Kluyveromyces lactis: one gene and its partners. The protein of the gene in region 3 interacts with the protein of the main gene of each other region in a pairwise test. Links are inferred from orthologs where the notes say so. Each region holds a gene or a part of one and is shown on either strand. Other genes may lie near its edges. The genes, in order: PEX2, PEX13 and PEX10.

Evidence for each region.
Region 1: the proteins of PEX10 (region 3) and PEX2 interact in binary tests that used the Saccharomyces cerevisiae proteins (3 or more experiments, as listed by UniProt). The link is inferred for Kluyveromyces lactis from reciprocal best matches to the Saccharomyces cerevisiae genes PEX10 and PEX2.
Region 2: the proteins of PEX10 (region 3) and PEX13 interact in binary tests that used the Saccharomyces cerevisiae proteins (3 or more experiments, as listed by UniProt). The link is inferred for Kluyveromyces lactis from reciprocal best matches to the Saccharomyces cerevisiae genes PEX10 and PEX13.

Annotation. Positions count from the first base shown.
Region 1 is NC_006040.1:36,772-41,048, reverse strand, and holds PEX2 (ubiquitin-protein ligase peroxin 2), read right to left. Parts: upstream 2,546-4,277; coding exon 1,811-2,545; downstream 1-1,810. Other genes in the region: NUC1 (ribonuclease), read left to right, coding at 760-1,758; KLLA0_D00396g (Zn(II)2Cys6 transcription factor domain-containing protein), read left to right, coding at 3,687-4,277. UniProt on the Saccharomyces cerevisiae protein: E3 ubiquitin-protein ligase component of a retrotranslocation channel required for peroxisome organization by mediating export of the PEX5 receptor from peroxisomes to the cytosol, thereby promoting PEX5 recycling.
Region 2 is NC_006041.1:1,755,527-1,760,492, forward strand, and holds PEX13 (peroxin PEX13), read right to left. Parts: upstream 2,383-4,966; coding exon 1,156-2,382; downstream 1-1,155. Other genes in the region: KLLA0_E19713g (uncharacterized protein), read left to right, coding at 405-836; MMR1 (Mmr1p), read right to left, coding at 2,901-4,268. UniProt on the Saccharomyces cerevisiae protein: Component of the PEX13-PEX14 docking complex, a translocon channel that specifically mediates the import of peroxisomal cargo proteins bound to PEX5 or PEX21 receptors.
Region 3 is NC_006041.1:1,480,323-1,484,756, forward strand, and holds PEX10 (ubiquitin-protein ligase peroxin 10), read right to left. Parts: upstream 1,968-4,434; coding exon 1,050-1,967; downstream 1-1,049. Other genes in the region: E3 ubiquitin-protein ligase HEL2, read left to right, coding at 1-970; SHE4 (She4p), read left to right, coding at 2,183-4,168; KLLA0_E16721g (uncharacterized protein), read left to right, coding at 4,430-4,434. UniProt on the Saccharomyces cerevisiae protein: E3 ubiquitin-protein ligase component of a retrotranslocation channel required for peroxisome organization by mediating export of the PEX5 receptor from peroxisomes to the cytosol, thereby promoting PEX5 recycling.

The DNA of each region.
Region 1 (4,277 bases), on a different chromosome or scaffold from region 3:
GAATATTTTTGTCTGATGGCATAGATACTCACTTTTAAGGTTTTCTATACCGTTTTGCCATGCTCTTTTGTATGTCGGAAGATTGATAGCAAAAATACTACGGAAATGAGCAAGAATGACAAGTCAAAAGTGGTTGCTTTAGAACGTGTAGTCCTGACATATAAATGTATATACATACCTAACTGGGCGTTTGTGGTTCCTTGCGATTTCCACCCAATGCTGAAGCTAAGATAACGTGCTGTGTCTTCCTAAGATGAACAGAAAGGAACATCGAAACATGGACAAATCCAAATACCATTTCAATGGTTCAATATTTTTCAGAAACCCGCCCTATTATTCGAACTGGTAATATATAGGTTTCCGCCGCAGTTAGCATGTACGATGTTCATAGTAATCGTTATGACATCCGTGGTTTTTGTTCAAGAAAACAATCATAAGGCTCACAACTTTCATTGCTATAGACGCTGTGACAAAAATATCTTCTATTTAGGACTAGGATGTCCTCGATTCTGTGATGCTGTAGCACTACTGCAGCATTACTACTAGCAAACGCTACTAAATATTCAACTCATGCACTTATTGTTGACCTAAGCCCTTATTCATTATACTGTCCGGAGTGAAAAAAAAAAAAAAAAAATTCTCGTAATGCATTCCAGCCTAAAATAATACAAGAGTGTCATCCCAGAAGCTGCAATCACCAGAATATCATTTAATTGTCAAGTAATTTGAATCGCTTGGTGCTGAGGAAATAGACCGGCCATGAGCTTTTCAAGAAACGCTTTTAGTGCGTTAGTCGGTGTTGGTACCGTGTCGTACTTTTGGGGGAAATCTAGTGCACTATCTGGCGGAAACTCTGGTACCTCATTCCCGGGATCCACTGGTAGTAGCAATAACATTCCATCAGATCCCAGTTCCTCAAACCAAGCTGGTCGCGTCTCGTTAGTTGGAAGTAACGTTGATCCTGGTGCATTCTTCAAGTACGGATTCCCTGGGCCAATTCATGATCTGGAAACAAGACAAGAGTTCATCTCGTGCTATGATAGGAGAACAAGGAACCCATACTGGGTACTTGAGCACATTACACCAGAATCCTTAAAGACAAAGGGTGCTGATAGGAAGAACTCTATATTCAAGGAAGACGAGCAGATTCCAGAGATGTTCCGCGGTCGACTAAAGGATTATTTCAGATCCGGTTACGATAGAGGACATCAAGCCCCTGCGGCGAACGCGAAGTTCTCCCAACAGGCAATGGACGATACTTTCTATTTGACTAATATGTGCCCTCAAGTGGGTGAAGGTTTCAATAGAGATTACTGGGCACATTTGGAGTATTTCTGCAGACAATTAGTCGATAAATACAACAGTGTTCGAATTATGACAGGTCCCTTATACTTGCCGAAGCGAGACCCCAAAGACGGTAAGTTCAAAGTCACATACGAGATGATTGGAAATCCACCTAACATTGCAGTCCCAACGCATTTTTTCAAGTTGGTCGTGGCTGAAAGACCTAAGCAGCTTGGAAATGGTCGTGATGATGAGCTGCACGTTGCCGCATTTGTCTTACCAAATGCTCCTATTTCGAACTCTACAACATTAATAGAGTTTGAAGTACCCGTCAATGCATTAGAAAGGAGTTCCGGCCTGCAGCTGTTGCAGAATGTTCCAAAGGAGAAGAAGAAGGAGTTGTGTAAACAAGTGCGGTGCGAAATAACTGTAAGAGAGTTTAATAATACTGTTTTAGCATTGCCTGGGAAGTAATAACGTATATAGATTTGGCCTAGGTGTGAATATATAGGGTATAATAAACACTTTAGCAAAAGAATTTTGGGTTCTTAGTATTACAAACTAGGCAATGTGACTGTTCCACTTCCAACGCACAAGTGTAGCAATACCTTGTATTGCAGCAAGTGATTGTAAATGCATTTGTAGCGACCTCACCACAAACAGGGCATAAAGTATTCTTTTGCGAAAACTTCTCACCAGGGGCCCCAACTGAAGAACTACCACCGGCAATAGCCTTTGCAGCTGCCACCGCAGCTGCGTTAGTACTTGTCACAGAAACGAATCCGTTTTTAAATAACGATAGACCAGCTATCATCTCAATGGAAGCATTCCAGAGCATCTGAACCTCAGATGCTGATGATCCTGAAGTAGTATCAGAATACGAGAATCCCGGTTGGAACACTGCAGGGACTCGGAACAATCGATGCAAAAGAGAGGGACCACCTGTACCCGACGTTAAAAATTGTAAAAGATGGATCAAATCTAAAAGTTCGTAAACCAAATTGGTCCTTTCAAACCGATGCAACAGATGTCTTAATACCACGGTAACAGCAAATAACCGCCAACGAGAGCATTGATAGCCAACACCAGTGAGAACACTACCATATGTTGCGACACTACCCTGATGCCATCGCCTACTCCCAAGTAAGAATACCAGAATTTCAACAACTATCTGCGGACAAGGAAAACCCAAATCCGATTGAAGTGCCCTGGTGAGCTGCAGATCAAGTGAAACTCCATCTAATTGAGCAACCCTTGACATATTCGGATCGACAGATAACGTATTGCGCTTAAAACACTCACTACCCTTCGTTACTTAGTGTTAGCAATGAAATATTTCACCGGTACAAATTGCAAAATAATAAAGCAGCAGCGTGACTTCCAGATAATAAAACACAGTACCTATCTCTCTTGATATAGATAGATGTCTCACTGTAATACAATCGGACAGTATGGATACCAGGAACTATGAGACCAGGGCTGCGATAACTCCGAAATTATATTCCCCGTTGTTTGGATGGCCTCCAGTTTATCCTTACTTCGAGGGCATTTTTTTTGCTCTTTGTACTCGGTACTTTTATGCCAAAGGCTATTCAGTTATTCGTTTCGTACGTATCTGACTGAGAGCTTCTACCGCGGAGTTAGAGAAAAATCTGCAAGCAAAAAAAGCACAGTCAATCAAACAAGGAGAATGCAGCAGAAAATGCTACAATACTTTTTTGGGCCGTAGGCTTCACGTTTTGATCTATTAAAGTGTGTCTAAACGCCGCAGCGCAGCTTACCTGAGCTTATGTGATATACACCGAATAGTCTACAACATCCGTTTTTGTCAAGTGAGCCTTTTCGGTCAATATTGGGAAGCAGCTTATTATACGGGGATGCTTTTACATACCGCACCGGTAATATACCACAAAAAAATATCGGACACACAGGGTTATGGACTGGTTCCGTCAATCGCAGAAGGGTTCGGTTCAGAGCCTGGTTCTTTGTTTGTTTGTTTTTTTGCCTGCTAGTGTCATCAACGGGGAATTACTGAGAGCCCACCTTAAGGGCCATTAGGACTTTCTGGCAGTTTTTTTAATCTCCTGTTATTTTGAAGTTCGAAACTCCAGAGTTTTTCCTCGGTTAAAGCTAATTCTAGGAGATGAGTTACTTTATAATGCTTTAATTACATTTGCTTTTCGATATCAAGCCATCTATATGTACATAAATATATATATATATATATATATATATGGATGTGAATGTAAGTGTATGTATAGATATACGCGGGCACTTGCCAGTGGTTGTTGGGATAACGCGCAGATTTCATCCCATTAGTTCTCTGAGTGCCGCTGGCAGATACTGGCTACCATCCGTTCGTACCTCTGCGTGCCCCAAATTTTTTTTTCCTAACATTAAAAATGCTCAAACCGTTGCGGTCTTGTACCAGATGCAGAAAGAACAAGGTAAAATGTGATTCTGCAAACACAAGACCCGGTCCTTGCACTGCCTGTTCGAAACGTGGTTTGGTGTGTACGCTGGATTACGTCGTACCACCGCGTCGGTCTGATGAACTTAAAAAGCTTCATCACAGTGTCTCATGTGTCAAGGGAAGTGTCGAACGGTTGTTAAAAAGTTCAGTTGTATCCTCAACGTCCATTGATGATCAAAACGAGGAAAATGCTTATAGATTTGGTTCCTCCAGCATTATTGAGCTTGGTAACGATGACGCTGGTTGTCATCGCGCTTCTACAACTACTAACAGGAATAATCAATCTCAGCACCAACACCAAAACGAGCAGGTCACGTGGGTGTCCATCCAAAAGTCTCTCGCTGGCGTGGTACCCAGTAGGATTATAAAAGTATCTGATGATTTCTTCATCAGGTTGATGCTAAAACATAGCTCGCTCCTTATCAATAACTTTGAAATAGATTTATTTGATTTGGAAGAAGTCTTGTTCGAATTTATGTTCATTGTCAAATCTTTGCTTCCGAGTGAACGTCTGCCACCT
Region 2 (4,966 bases), about 280 kb from region 3:
CCCGATGATTAAATGGATCGATGTCCTTGGGCATTTCATGGAGGTTCAAATTGCGTCAACTCATAATGCTGCTCAGAAAGAATCTGTCGAGTTCTATTAGGGATGGAATACGTATTTCTGCTACAAAAGCAAGTTACCATCTCTCCAGTACTATTGTCGATAGATATTGTACCATTTAGTAGCAAACCTTAACATGTTGAAAAACAGATGATACAAATCCAGATATATGATACATACTAGTATGTATATATATATAGGGCATGGTCGAAAGAATAATGCCTCTTCTAGGATTAGACACCTTTAAATACACCATTATCAAATTCAGATACGAATCAATCAAGCCCGTGATCGATTAACGCAACGAGAGAGCAACACTACTATACCCACATATTCCTATTTTCAAAATGATGATTTCAAAGACTATTTACAGAGGTTCCAGAGTCCCAGCTGCCTCTAGATTATTCACAAATTCTCCTATGGCTCGTTCTATTCACAATTCTAACATTGATTCTAAAGGTATCAAAGAAACTTTAGAAGACGTTAACAAGAAAGTTGGTAAAGCTGCAGCTGAAGGTATTGAGAAGACCGAAGAAGCAACTCATCACTTGGGTGAAAATTTCCAAAATGTTGAAGAAAAAGTGAAAGGGATATTCAATATGACAGGGCAGGATGCCAAGGAAGCTGCTGACACGGCTTCAAACAAGGCCAGCGATCTTGCAGAGAAAGGTAAGGAACACGCCCAAGCCAAAGGTAGAGAGGCTGCTGCCAAGGGTAAGGAAGCCGCTGCCAAGGGTAAAGAAAAACTGGAAAATGCTGCTGACAAACTAAACGAATAAAAATAAGGAATGAGATGATGATAAAGTCCGGAATGTCGATGTCCTCTTTTCCCAATAAACCAAATTACCTGATCCTTTAAGCAGCAGGGTGACAATAAACGCCCTTGTGCTAATATTCTAGCATTCCAAATGCCGTATCTGGGGTTCGAGCAATGGAATAATAAATGTGTAGTAACCACAAATACATATATAACGTGAAACAAGAGAAAAATACAACGTAATTCTTCTTAATACTTAGTCTGAAACTTTCTGAAGCTATCACATCTTTAACTTAGCATTTGTGACCCGCCATATTCAATTCTTGTCCATCACCATGTAATCACTGTTGATTCTGTAATAGATGGTCTACCGAGGTTGAATCCGCCAGTTCTTCAGAAGTATTCGATTTCTCAGATTCAACAGGTACGCCATTTTTCCTTTTCTTAATCAACTCAAGATAGTTGTATGGAACGTACCCAATATTTCCTTGTTTTGTTCTGACTTTCCACCATTCAGAGTTATTTCCTAGTGGATCTTTCTTGGAAATGATTGCCATTAGATCTCCTTTCTTTAAGTTACATTCAATTCTTGGATTCTCAGGAACGAAATCATAGATCGCTCTTGCAAATTCTAGGTTATTAGGATCTAAGATTTGTTGTGCCATAGCGCCGCCAGCTATTTTGGCTTTTTGGTGCTGTTGTAATTTCTGAATAAATTTGTTCAAAAGGTACGGGAAGCCGAACACAGCTGCTAAAAACACAATCAATGGTTTCCATGAAATTCTTCTACCCTTTTTCTTCGTCAGATCTGAGTCCCTGAATTCTTCGATAAATTGTTTTGAAAGATCTGAGCCCTGGCTCTTTCCGCCCTCTATCCCTAAGCGCTTTTTGGAAGGCGCTACTCCCATCTTACCACCTGTAACTCTGTACAAGATCTTTTTTACGAATTTTATCAAGGCAAATATACCAAAGAATGATCCCAAAAGCTCCTTCATATATTGAAACTGTTCCGCAACGGTTATCATAGTGAAAAAAGAGTTATGGGTAGCCATATATGTAGCTTCTAACATCTGGGCGAAACCAGCAACGGCTCCTATAAGCCCTTCTATTAACTGGAAAGTTGCCTGTGTTGACTCTGCAATCCCCGAGGGTCCTCCATTCATACCGTTCATACCGTTCATCCCATACATTGATCCGAACCCTCCCCCATACATCGACCCTAAACCACCGCCGTACATCGACCCTAAACCACCACCATACATAGAGCCATAACCACCTCCGTACATGGATCCATATCCACCACCCATGGAACCCATTCCATATCCTGTACCTAAACCTCCACCATACGCCGAACCATATCCAGACATACCATTTCGAAGAGGGTTTCCCCCGTTCAAAGAATCCATACCCTCATTTAAACCGTTCGGTTTGGATGGTAAGTCAGGCTGATTACCAGATGGTTGCAACGCACTGCTATTCTCAGTAAAACTGGCATCAGTTCCTAAACTCTCAACTCCATTTTTCTGCTCCCAGGGCTTCGGTCTGGAAACACCTGCCGATTGTGACATGACTACTGATGCTCTAATAAATATGAACTTCGATCACAGCACTTAATAGAAGCCAAAACCGCTACAATCGATGTGTATTCATCACTGTCGTTACCTGTATTTAAGCTCCACGACATGATTCAATGTTACTTTTAGAATCATCGTCAATCTTTGAAATATGCTTTGGCCGGGTAACAAGTTACTATTTCCTGCGTCGTGACTTAAAGACAATAGTAGATATCGTCTTTTCATCAGCAATAGACGATATCTTTTCCACGAAGAACCGTTGGATACTTGAATGAAAATCCTTATTTCCTTCTTTTAAATATTTTGTATTTAAATTGGTTCCGAATGACACGCATATTATGTATATATGTATCCTTGTTATTATTGAAAGAATGTATAAAAGTTCGAAATGAAGCAGCTGCAATGTGAGTTGAATGTATCTACTACAAAGCTTTATCAGCAGCATTGGATAGTTGTAAATATTGAATCGAAAATGTTGTCCGTATTATGCTTGAAAAAAATTTGTAATTATCTTATGAAAAGTCCTTCTTGTGTTTGCTTTCTTCTAAAGAAGTTAATTGTATGCGTAAATTGAAACCATGCTGTAGTCTCGTTGGATTAATACTCCCCGATAATACCTCGCCTTCGTCACAATCTAATGTCGTAGTACTGTTATGAGCGGTAGTGTTGTCGGGATCGCTGATATGTAAACTAGATTCATCTGGCTTACTCTCCGATTTGGATTCAGCCAGCGCGTCGAGTTGTTCAACTGTTAAGTACTTTACCCTGTTTTTCCTTGGGCTCAGTCTGGATTCCAAAGCCTTCTGAATTCTTCTGCATTTAGCTAATTCTTTCTCTAGCTCTTTTATCTTTCCTTCAACAGCGATCTTTACTAGTGCATCTGATTTGAATGGTGGTTTATTCGATATATTCTCCCGTGACCTGTCTGAATTGTGAATTATGAAGTCTGTATTTGATATTCTTGGTAATTGTTGTATATGCTGTAATAACGAGCTGCTTTGGAAGGTCAAGGACTCATTTGCTCTCGTTAAACTATTGTTGATATCTTTTAAATTCTCGTTATCCAAATGCAATTTATCGTTATCCAGTTTCAACTCATCAATCTTCAGTTGAAGTTTCTTGATTGTCAGATCTAGTCTTTCTTTGTCGAAATGATGATCGTCAGGATATTGGAAATCATCTTTATTATTCAGCCACAGCTGTTCGTCATTCATGAAATTTGATAGTATACTATTTCTTTTGTTATTGACAGCCCCATTGTTATCATTTAATCCATTTTGTACCTCCTCATCAGCTAGCATTTGAAGTTCAAGATCAAGTGTTACAGTCGGTGAACTTGAAGTATATGAATCTGAGGATGGGAACCTATCACCTATTTTTGGAGGTTCTAGCTCAACGTATTTTGTGGTATTACTTAACTGGGATGTACTAGACATTCCTCTTCTATGCCCAAGAGCAGGTTTGCCATTGGACCCACGATTTAAGTTATCATTTCCATTGGCATTCATTTTTGTGCCAACTATTGGAACATTTTTTATCACTTGATTACTGTTGTTGTTCTTCAAAAGGTATTCTTTCTTGTACATCTTAGGCGGTTGCACTTTCACAGGACCAGGTATTGGAGATATCCTAATTGGAGAAGTAGATCTTAGCATTGATGAAATAGGAGTGGGATTGGTATCTCCTCCAATTGAGTTCGACCTAGACCTAGACCTTGGACCTATCGGTATCACGTTTGCCATACTATTATTGTAATCCAGTTGCTTGTCCATAATTTTTGACAAAGATGTCCTAAGTCGTTTGGGGTAGGCACCGTTATCGTCTAGATAAATCGATGAGCCATGAGCAATCATTGTATCATCAATGCCACCTCCGAGCATCTTCTTTTTGTTTCTGTTTTATATTGGATGAAGTTTGCACTCCCGTACGCTATTGTGCCTATCTCTAATTTGCGGTTTACTGTGCTCTAAGTTAGACCTCTAGAGGTAAACTTTGCAAAAAGCTTCTTGTTAAGAGAAATTTTACAGTAGGGGATACTCTTTTTGTCTCTTTATTCCAACCCTAAATGAATCTCAACTTGTTTTGCTGAATGATGTTATGAAAGGCTGATGCTCCACTGACACAAGGGTTCGACTATAAAGCTAGCAAGTATTCGGTGCTTTCCTCACTTTGTCAAGTTTCAAATACCCTTTACCTTCCCCAACAGAATATTAACGGAATGTAACTTCGCACAAAACTCCTTTTCCAACAACGCAGGTGCTCTCTTTGAGAAAAGGAAGTGCCTTTTGTCGACCAGTTTTCCTCTCTTACCAGTAGGATGTCAAAACTCTCCGCCAAGAGACTTTACGAGTGATTTCGATGAAGGCAGAGAATAACTAAACTTAAGAAAATCACCTCGTATAACAATAGTTGAAATACTTTTGTTAAGCTCAAAGAAAAAAATCCTTAAAATGGGTAGGATCCAAAACTCACAACTTCATCTACCCTCTTTCTCTTCCGTTTGTGGGAACTGTGTTACCGAATCCGACTGCTCATCGCTTTCGACATGTTTAAGTAAAGAAAACAGACAATGTTTACA
Region 3 (4,434 bases):
TCCTCATCTTGCAGGTGATAGCAGAAGAGCTATGACGTTGATAGATAATACCTCAAAGAAGTTCAGATCACAAATTACTACGTTCTCCAATCCAACAAGAATTATAGATGCACAGAATGAGGAATCAAATTCTGCAAACTCAAGAGATGTCAAAAGGAGGAGAATGGAACAAAGAGCAAGACATTACCTTGGGAACTCTGAACCAGACTTCCAGTCCTTCTTAATCATCAATGACCTATTTAACAAAAACGAAATTTCTGCTCAAGAGCTTCAATCCAAATATGAAGACTTGTTTAAGCAACACGCGGATGATATACAATTACTAATTTACGATTTATCGGAGTTATATCATTCAACTTCGGATAAACACAAAAGATTGCGTGCTATATACGAAGGCATTATGAAGAAGAAAGAGAATGCAGGGAAATTCAAACCTCTCGTCGCCGATTCATCATCTTCGGTTAACGTAGTTTATGGTAAATGGGGTAAAAAGAGTTCTTCTGGTGTTGGCGGGTCGAACGTGAAGTTCACGTCTCTACCAGCTGTATCCGAACCTATATTCTCCTCCAAAGCCTCGTATACTAATTTGCGGAAAAATGGCTCTTCTTCACCGTCCTCTCCAGTTATTAGGAGCGGTTTGACTTCCAATTCATCGTCATCAACTTCTTTAAACTATGCGAAGAAGAATCAATCACCGCCAGGTTCTTCAACCGTTGTAGTGAATTCACAACCGAATGTGACAGCTATCAAATCACCTAATCCAACCAGCTTCCCCAAGTTACAAGCTACTAAGAAAAAATTTGTTGCACCTCCAGTGAAACAGACTACCATACCAAACCCATCCACTTGGGGTAAGCCTCAAAACGACAACGATTCTATCAACTTGGATTCGTTAGACAATGCATTACCAGCTAGTGGTAGTAAGAAAAAGAGCAAACAAAAACAACTACTGTTCCATATTGGCATATAGATTTAACCCCGTTATATACAGCAGATTGTTTTAATAATACAAGAAAGCTCGCTGAAACATTTAGATATTCTTCTAAGCTTTATCTAACAGGTATCGTCAGCTGTCTCGGACACCTTTGCCTGCATAATGGACACTCCTGTCTTTCTAACGTCCATTCCATGATACAATCCCAGCAGAAAAGGTGACCACACGGAGTCGCGCTGGGATCCAGCATATAGTTAAGACATAAAACACACTTACGTGAATCCTCTTTGATGAAAGGTAGGACTTCTAGATCGCTAAGATCTTTTGAGGTGTGTTTTTTAGCTAATGCACTTAAACTCTTGTGGCTCTTCCCATCATCTGTTCCAATTCTGTCAGCGATGTATTCTGCAATCTGCGGTAAAAGCTTAGAAGCTAATTGCATACCAAGTATAAAACCAAGAATCTTGTAGTTTTGCGATGACTTCTTCTTGAATTCTACCTCATTCTTGTTCATTTCATGGCCAACCACATATCTCATTCCAAATATTCTCTTTGAGATATCATAATACTGTCCGCTCAAGTAGAATATAATTAAGTGCAAATTCAAAGTGGAATCCAAGATGTCCCTGAAACTCTTGCCATTGAATACTTTCAAGAAACCAGATCCCCTCTCATTGAGCTTATACTTGTAGAATACTTTCGATAATATCCACGGTACCCCACAATAACTGATAGCGAAACCAATCCTTCGCAGGAGTCTCGCAACACCTTTTCCTCGCCTATCAACATACGCCAAATCAACGTACTCTTCTCCAAGCGTTCTCCTATACCTTAGTGTTGTAATTGACAAGTATATCAACTTGCTGAGGATCATTATCTCACTAACATACCTGTTAGTGAACTGTTGTCCCTTAACTTTCCGTAGTACATCCTGGATCTTTTGTAACAGCAAGTTTTCCACAGTATCATCCTTTTGATGCGCCTGAACTATACTAGGTGCATCAGCAAATGGGAACTTCATGTCTGGTGCCATTGCTTGTCTCTCGTCAGTTTGTGTTCTTATTCGTTTTTGAAGATGTTAGATGGTTGAAATTGATCAATTGGAGAAATGAAGTTTTATTTGATTAATCATAGGGTTCGAAACCAGAGATAACTAAACCCGATCTAACATACAGTTGTTTGGGCTGGTACCGATAGTTCAATTCTGTGAATTTATTCTTTTTGTAATTCAATAAAGATATCAACGCTATGAATAAAGTTTGGGATAGAATTGTTGGCAGTGATAGTGCCGATGCTCAAAGTGTATTGAAAGAAAGATGTTCATCTCCGAAGGACGTGACGGATTTGTTGCACGTTATTCAAAACTGGACCTCAGAGATACATAACAATGGCGAGGAAACACGATGCTGGAAGTGTGTGCCGATGCTTGCCGGTTATGTGAAGGATTGGGGTCAATTGGAGTTTCTTTGCAGAAGAATACTTTTAAGAAGTAGCATACAAGAGATACGGCCATTACTTCTTGTAACGATGAAATCGTTGATGTCCAACCATTCAGATAATACGGAGCAGAAGTGTGGGAATATACTACAACAATTGTTAATTGAAGCCGAGGAAGATTCTGGCAATGTTTCTTTACGTTTGCTTGTAGATGCTATGTCTTTGGTGTTCCCTATCTGCCTTGGCGTTTGTAGAGACATGTTTCTTTCGACAGATTTCCAGGACATATTGACTAGGAATTTGAATTCTTCAGCGGATGATGAACATCTTGTAAACGGGGCTCTTCGTCTCTTGGCTGTTTCCTGTATTGACGAAGCAGTCAGAAGATTCATTGCAGAGCATTACCTTAAGACGTTACAACAATCATTTAAGGTCGAGAAGTATAAAGTACTGACTGCGTTGGTTTTGATCAAGATCTGGTCATTCACTAAGATAGAAAAGGAAACTCTTAACTCTTGCATCAACCTTTTCATCGACTCGCTTTCGAATGGCGAAAATATCGAGATTAATACTGAAGCTTTAGCTTACTTGACATTGAAGCCCTCTGTCAGAGTCTTGCTACGAGGTAACGGTGATGTATGTTTGAAAATAATCGAGCTGATCAAGTCACAGGACACTACACCGACTGATCTATACGGACTCTTGATTATATTAGCAAACGTAAGTGAGCACCCGTCACAGAATGAGGATACAGTCGATAAATTAAAAGCTTCATTGAAAACCAACCAAGAAAAGAATGACGAGCCGACATTGGAAAATGTTAAGGACATAGAAGAGTTTAACCGTGATTATATTATCGATTTAGACTTGATCGGTTCTTTAAAATCGATAAAACTATCCACCTCATCTTACAATCAAGCCATAAGAATCATATATAATGTGACAAGAGATAAAACACAGATATCAGAATGTGTGAAACAGGGTGCTGGATTGATGCTCTTGGTATTTTTAGCACAAAAAAGGAACCTTTCTAAAGATGAATGGTATCTTCTATCGATAAGAGCACTATCGAAAACACTCATCTATGTGAATCCAGAGACTGCGTTCAGCAAATATTCACCGTTGAGCGCAGCACCGTTCTTATTTGAAAATTTACCTTTACCAAATGACAACGCTTTATCGGAACTTCAATTCACACAATTAGATACTTACGAAGCATTATTAGCGTTGACAAATTTGGCTACTATAAACCAGGGAGTAGATCTCGGCAAAATCATCTTGAGTAATGCTCAGTATTGGGATAGTATAGAGAATCTCTTATTGGATTCATCGGTCAGAATTCAAAGATCGACATTAGAACTTATTTCCAATTTAATGTCCAATCCAATGGCTATCTCTGCAAAGTTCTTCTGCTTTGAAAACCCTAAGAGTGCACAGAATTTCGAAATACTGGTCAAGCTTCTCGAACTTCACGATATACAATCTCAGAGAGCCGTTGCTGCCATATTTGCCAATATTGCAAGCACCGTTCCGTTCATTTGCAAAGAACTATCTGAGAAGCGAAACCTTATCGAAACAGCAATAAGAGTCTTTAAAACACAAAACACGGATACAGACCTCAGGATAAGATTACTCGTACTCTTGTCATCTATCTTCAACGCCAATGCGCATGCTGTCGCATGTGTCAAGAATGATGAAGAATTTGTAAAAGAATTGCAAAAATATCGTAATACTCCATCTCAAAAAGATCCATTAACACCAGAATTATCGAAAGAAATACTTTCTCTAATCAATTGATATATAGAACAATCAACAAGGTATAGCAGTATGCGATTTGTACATCCTTTTATATCTCATCTCAGCCTATATTTGTCAACGGGAATGAGGCTGGATAGACTGCTCAAAATGTAAAAAAAGCCTATAGCCCGATTTAACCAAACACTTTTAAATACTTAAACCAACGATCAAAGAAAAAGCTACATAAAGGACCTGAGCTAACCATACTGTCTATAACCATCAACTTGCTTAAATACTAAACCGAAAGACAGCTTACATATTATGAC